2 linked regions of the Caenorhabditis elegans genome follow. The protein of the gene in region 1 purifies or fractionates together with the protein of each later gene. This does not show direct contact. Each region holds a gene or a part of one and is shown on either strand. Other genes may lie near its edges.

Evidence for each region. The genes of interacting proteins can lie anywhere in the genome.
Region 2: the proteins of agef-1 (region 1) and F52B11.2 fractionate together in Caenorhabditis elegans (co-fractionation; one large-scale study listed by BioGRID). This does not show direct contact.

Annotation. Positions count from the first base shown.
Region 1 is NC_003279.8:13,624,273-13,628,028, reverse strand, and holds the start of agef-1 (SEC7 domain-containing protein), read left to right. Parts: upstream 1-1,803; 5' UTR 1,804-1,830; coding exon 1,831-1,969; intron 1,970-2,915; coding exon 2,916-3,232; intron 3,233-3,756. Other genes in the region: W09C5.1 (Ribosome biogenesis protein NSA2 homolog), read left to right, coding at 1-378, 1,288-1,365.
Region 2 is NC_003282.8:14,081,823-14,085,204, reverse strand, and holds F52B11.2 (putative phosphomannomutase), read right to left. Parts: upstream 1,638-3,382; coding exon 1,566-1,637; intron 1,417-1,565; coding exon 1,293-1,416; intron 1,233-1,292; coding exon 664-1,232; 3' UTR 510-663; downstream 1-509. Other genes in the region: cfp-1 (CXXC-type zinc finger protein 1), read right to left, coding at 2,181-2,386, 3,035-3,240. UniProt on the Caenorhabditis elegans protein: Involved in the synthesis of the GDP-mannose and dolichol-phosphate-mannose required for a number of critical mannosyl transfer reactions.

The DNA.
Region 1 (3,756 bases):
AGAAAGCAGAAGGCTGGAAAGTTCAACGTCCCAATTCCACAAGTACGAGCTGTCAGTGATGCTGAAGCGTTTAAAGTCGTGAAAACCGGAAAAACGAATCGTAAAGGATGGAAGAGAATGGTGACAAAAGTCACATTCGTCGGCGAGTCATTCACCCGAAAACCCGCGAAATTCGAACGATTCATTCGTCCGATGGGACTTCGTTTCAAGAAGGCACACGTCACACATCCAGAACTTCAGACGACATTCCATTTGCCAATTGTTGGTGTTAAGAAGAATCCGTCGAGTCAAATGTACACATCTTTGGGTGTTATTACAAAGGGAACCATCCTTGAAGTTAATGTATCCGAATTGGGAATGGTTACTCAAGGAGGAAAGGTAAAAATACACGTTTTAGAGCCGAAAATTTGGAATTTCTCATTGAAAATGAGAGCCACGTGGCTACAGAGGGTTTTGGTTGAGGCTCAACACTACAAACTACACAATTTGTGAGCCTCAACCAAGGATTTTTCGGCGCGTGGCATGATACTAACCGACCAAAAGCGCTCGAAAATTTGAATTTCTCCCTGAAAGCAAGAGCCACGTGGCTTCTGAACACCAAAAATGAATATTTGGTTGAGGCTCTCACTAGCCTCAACCAACGCACGGTTTGGTTGAGGCTGAGACTACAAACTACACTTTTTCTTTAGCCTCACAGAATTTTTCGCGTAGATTTTTCCATTTTTCTTCTACTGCGCACGATAAAATTCAATTTTTACGAGATTTTTTCTGTAGAAGCTTTCGAAATTTGAGTTTTAATCCTGAAAATTGCGAATTAACACTGTAAAATTGCCCCGTGGCGGTAGTTTTTCTGGAAATTCCACTTGGCAGAATGAAAAACTCTCGAAATTCGAAATTTATTGGTTTTTTCTCCTGAAAAATTAAGTTTTTACAAACAATTAGACTTTTTTCGGCATAAAAACCAAGCAAAAATATTATTTTTGAGTTGGTTGAGGCTCAATACTACAAACTACACAATTTGTGAGCCTCAACCAAGAATTTTTCGGCGCGTTGCATGATACTAACCGACCAAACGAGCTCGAAATTTTGAATTTCTACCTGAAAGTAAGAGCCACGTGGCTTCTGAACACCAAAAATGAATGTTTGGTTGAGGCTCTCACTACAAACTACAATTTTTCTTCCGCCTCAACCAATGTAATGCATGGTTTGGTTGAGGTTAAGACTACAAACTACACTTTTTCTTTAGCCTCACTCATTTAAAAAAAATTAATTTTTCCAATTTTTCAGGTCGTTTGGGGGAAATTCGCACAGGTGACGAACAATCCAGAGAACGACGGATGCATCAACGCCGTGCTTCTCATCTAAATGATCTTCTTCTATTTTCTCTTCTTCTTCTACCCACTTCCATTTCCACTTTTACTCGTTTCTGCGTTCATTTTTTGTTGATTTTATCATTGTTTTCTCTTCGTCTACACACACATTCAACCGGAATAAAGCTAAATTCCACGTTTCTATATCTGTATTTTCCACGTGTAAATTTCAGTGGTTTTAGAATATTGTGAAATTAAATATAACTCGTATATATTAAGTAAAGAGGACCTAGAGGTTGTGTAAAGCTATAAAGCTATTACGAAAGAGTACGCAAACACCGTGCTGACGTGCATACACCGAATTTGACGAGCAACTGGAACACACTCCTCTTACCCCCCAACTCGTTTCTTTTTTAATTTAATTATTTAATCATGTAGAAACTAACACAACGTGGCATACTTTTTATTGCAAAAAAATGCATTTATTTTCCAGAATGAACCGTGATTAATCAGCGCAAACATGAGCGAATTGTCAAACGGTCCGAAGAAATCGATTGGCAATATGTTTCTGAGAAGTGGAATCGAAAAGATACTCGCTGATCGGGATATCAAGCGAAAAGAGAACTTGCAGCTCAAAAAAGCGTGTGAAAGTGCTCTTGGTGGGTGTTTGGTTGAGAAATTGATGAATTTTCACAGTTTTTTAGTTTATTTCTAAGCTTAATTTCTTGAAATTCAGTGAAAAAAGCTGTAAATACATGTAAAAATCCCATTAAAATGTCTAAAAACATTGGTTGAGGCTCACACTACAAACTACATCTCACCAGCCTCAACCAATTGCAAAAAACCCCACGTTTTGGCTTTTTTGGGATTACAATCCATTTTTTCAAGATTTTCTCAGTTAAAAGCTTATTTCTCAGCTTAATATCTTAAAAATTCTGGAAAAAAGGTGTAAATTCATATAAAAATCCCATTTTGTCGTTGATTGAGGCTCACACTACAAACTACACGATTTCGCCAGCCTCAACCACATTCTAAACTCTTAATTTCAAAGAAAATTTGTTTTTTTTTCTCTTGAAAATACTAATTTTCAGCTAAACTTGTCAAAAAACGATTGAACTGTGAAAAAAAACCTAGAAAATTGGTTGAGGCTGAAAAACTTTGTAGTTTGTAGTCGCGTGGCCTCAACCAAATTTTTGGTGAGGCTCACAGACTACAAACTACAAAATTTTTCAGCCTCAACCAATGAATTCTACGTTTTTTCGAGAAATTTTCACAATTTTTGAATAAAGTCCCCAAAAAACCAAAAAAGGGGAATTTTTCGATCGGTTTCTGTCGAAAAATCTGAAATTAAAATTTAAAAAAGCGAGGAAATTCGGAAAATCACAATGGTTGAGGCTAAGAATAGTGTAGTTTGTAGCCACAGCCTCACCCATCTCGAATTGTGGTTGAGGCTTACACTACAAACTACAAAGTTTCTGTAGCCTCACCCAACACAATTTTTCATGAAATTTCAAATTTTTTAAAAAGAATTTTATTGTTTTAACAATTTAAAATCACTGAAATTTAGCAAAAAATAATATTTTTTGATTTAAAAATACTTTGCAGAAGAACTAAAAGCCGCGGAAGAGCAAGATGCCTCACCAAGCTCAAACGGAGAACACCTACCAGATGCGGGTGGCACCGCCGTCGAAGCCGATCGATATTTCCTGCCATTCGAGCTCGCGTGCAACTCGAAAAGCCCGAAAATCGTGATAACCGCGTTGGATTGCCTACAGAAATTGATCGCCTACGGACATTTGACGGGTCGTGGCGCTGATATTTCAAATCCGGAACGAAAGTTAATTGATCGAATTGTCGAAGCGATTTGTGCACCGTTTTTAGGTCAAGGAACTGATGAAACTGTACTTTTGCAGTTGATTAAGGTAGTTTCTAGCGAATTTTTAATGCAAAAATTGAGGTTTAGACCATAAAATACACATTAGAGGTGGTGTAGTCGAATTTTTTTATTGCCTTTTAGACTCAAAATTGTCTGAAAACACCGAATTTCGTAATGAAACTGGTTGAAAACTTCTCAAAAAAAGTTATGACGGCTCAAAAAATGGCCTAAAATTAGTTAAAATCGGAAATTTGACCGACTTGTCAAGCGGCTGGAAACTATTTTTTTTCGAAATCACCATCAAATTTTAAGTCTACAAATTGATTATTTTGCGTTTTAAACTTCATTTAGGTATTTAAAAATCGATGGATGGCGAGATTTTTAATTTTTTTAACCCAAAACTCGCCGTCCATCGATTTTTAAATACCGTATTTCTTCTATTAATATGGCTGCAAAACTATTTTTCGATGGTCTTCCCGCTTGCAATACTAATAGGGAGTGCAAGACTATTAGGGAGTGCAATACTAATTTTCAGAACATTTTTCTGAGTTTGAGCTTACTAGTTTTTTT
Region 2 (3,382 bases), on another chromosome or scaffold:
GACACGACAAATGTTGGCTAACTGCGAAGAGGTGTGCGCCTTTAAAAATTACTGTAACTTCAAAATTTTGTTTCTGCAGAATTTTCTTGATTTTTCATACAGTGCATTTTTTTCCAACTTCTACGACTAAAAAAAACGCGCATCCCATTGATTTGTTGAGCGCGTGGCGAGACCAATGACGGGATCATTTTGTATAAATGCGCGCGCCTTTAAAGTCGTAGAAGTGGAAAAAAAATGCACTGTAGTTTTCGTTATTATTTATTTTAATCTAAAAATTGAAAAATCGATTAAAAAAATTCTACAGTACTCATTAAAGGCGCACACTTGATTGTATATAACAAAAATTGTCGCGTCGAGACCTGGAACCCCATTAAATTGGTAAATTTGGATAATCAGAATATCAGCCAAGATCGCTGTAAGTTTATTCTAGTTTTTGGCGTGCCTACAAGGCATCATGTCCGCCGTGTAGGCGCGTAGGCAGGCCTAGATTCCAGGCAGTTCAAATTCGATTTCATAAACTATTCATATTTCACAGAAAAATGAACTGCGGTTTATCCAAAAAAAAGAAACCAGTGGGAATGAAAAGGATCACAATAAATAAATACTAGTATTTAGAATTACATAAATATTTAACTAGAAAAACAAAAAGAATATAATTTAAGCTTAATCCAACTCCTTGAGCACATTCTCCACATGTTTCCGAGTATCTTCTGGCCCTTCAACAGTATGTCCGACAGTCCGTTCGTCGGCAAAAATCTCATGATCGTTTCCGCCAGGCGCGGTTTTATCTCCGAAAAAGTGAATTGTATCGAAATCTGGCACTAAATATTGCAAACAAAAGGTCTTATCCCATCCAGTAGGGAATACATCAACACTAATTTGTCCTCCGATTGCAAACTGGAGCCCGTATTGCCCGAACTTCTCGCGGAGCTGCTCGGTGAACTTTTGGCGAATTCCGTGCTTCTTATCAAACTCCACAAATTGCATTCGTTCCTCTTGTGAGCAACTCCGTCCAATAGGCGACAAATTGATCATCCCGTTTCGGAATTCGACGAAATTTCCACGTTTCACAGGAAGTTGAATGTCAGACATGTAGCGGAGAGCAAAATTGATGAGCTCTTGGAGCTTCGCATCGCCGATGGCTTTCTGGATTGATTGTACTGGATACGGTTCGGTGCCCTTGAATCCGTAGAGCCCGTTCTCCGAGAATGTGTAGTCGAACAGGGAGAGCACTGGAAAAAATGAGGAAATTAGGATTTGTAATTCAAAAAAAAAAATTAGCAAAGACATACACAAATCCTTATCGTGATCTGCCAGCTGCTCTGTGATCTTCTTAAAGTCCGATCCTCCGACGATTGCCAGCGGGACACGCTTGCGAGCCTCGATCAGGAATTCTCGCATTTCAGGCGTAATAGTCTGAAAATGTTGGGGTTTTTTAAATTTAGATGTAGAAGCAAAATTTTGCCCCCCAAAAACGGCGCCTGGTCTCGACACGACATACTCTTCAAAGGCGCATTGTCGTGTCGAGACCCAGGTACCGTATCGCAAAAATCTCGCAGACTAACCTGACGAGCAGCAGTGAGTGTTCCATCGACGTCGAACACCAAAATTGTTCGGCTACTCGCTGGAGAAGTCATCTGAAAAATTTTTTTGGTGTTTTTTTTTAAATTTTTTAAGGATTTTTTTTGGAATAAAAGTTTTTTGTTGAAAAATTCGGAAAATGGAAAATAATACATTTAATGTCAATTTTCTTCGAGAGAGAGACCAAAATGTATAAAGAGAGATGAGTGAATAGTTGAGGATCAAAATGAAGAACACCGATAGAGAGAAATTGGGTGAAACAAAAAATAGAACAAAAAAAGGTTTTTGGAAAACTAGAAGAAAATAAATAAAATAATAATATAAAGAAGGGTAAGTTCAATTTGTTTTTTGTTCAAAAGATAAAAATCATAAAAATTTTGAAGAACAACGAATGAAAAAGCCAGTGCTTCGTGTAATATACGCAACGTGTCGTTAGAGTGTCTGCGTCTCTTCACTCTCTCTCTCTCCGCCATATTTCAGGACGACACCTATTCAAACAGAAAAAAATGTTGTTCAGATTTGGAAAAAAGATACGAAATTCCACGGAAATGAAAGAATATGATAGTTTTGAGGAAAAAACTAAAAAAAATAGGGAAATTTTAATTATTCTGCGTCTCCTCCTCCTTCTGTACAGCCAGATTTGCTAGAAATTCGGCGGTATCTTCCATTTCATCATCGTTTTTTGATGATGATGATGATGATGATGATGTTGAGCTGATTGGTGTCGTTGCTCCGTGAGCCGAGGCGGATGATGACGTGGATTGGGACTTGTTGAATAGGGACATTTGCTCGGAATCAATAATATCTGTAAAATTTCATTTTTAGATTTAAAAATCTGTGAAATTTTGAGGATTTTCTCATTCAGACACGGGATATGTGTCGATTTACGGAGCTCGTGTACTCCTCGAGCAGAAGCGGTTTTCCCTGGAAAAACCAGATTTTGAATTTTTTTTGCTGATTAATAACATATTTAACGGTGAAATCGCCAATTTTTTAATTTTTTTCAGTTGCTTTTAACAGCAAATTCGGCTTTTTGACCGTTAAATACAAAAAAAATTAGAGAAATTGGTCCAAATTCAAGCTTTTCGACAAAAACTGTAAAATTCTCAAACTTCTCCTCGGGGAGTACACAATTCCCGTAAATCGACACGGGGCAGTTTGTGCGAAAAATGCAGTGCCTGGTCTCGACGCGACAAATTTTCGCTAACTGCAAAAATCTGTGCGCCTTTAAAGATTACTGGAACTTTAAATTTTAGTTGCAGCGGAATTTCCAGTGATTTTTATAGTTTTCCGATAAAAAAGTTAAAAAAAAACCAAAATTTGAAATTACAGTAATCTTCAAAGGCGCACACATTTTTGCACCCAACAAAAAATTGTCGTGTCGAGACCGGCCACCGTAATTTTGGCGCGAAAATCGCAAAATTTCGCAGAAAAAATGAGCATTTTTCCGTACTCGGCTGTTTGTGCATCATAATCGACAGAGCATTCGTTGTCCATTCGGCGTGAGCATTCAATTTGTGCATCTCGTGGCACAGCTCATACATTTTCTGAAACAGACAAGCTTGTTCCAGCTCAATAGTTCCTCTCAACGATGGTATCCATTTGTGATGCTTGTGACACGCGTCCTTCTTCGTTCGACAGCCTTCCTCACCGAATGGGCTGAAAATTGATTGATTTGCAATTTTATTTGCTGAATGGCCGAGGTTTTTCTCGGCCACGGTCGAAGATCTGACAAGATTCAGCGATTTTTTTGCTATTTTTCCCGAATTTTTCTTTTTTTTCGGTCATTTTTTCACAATTT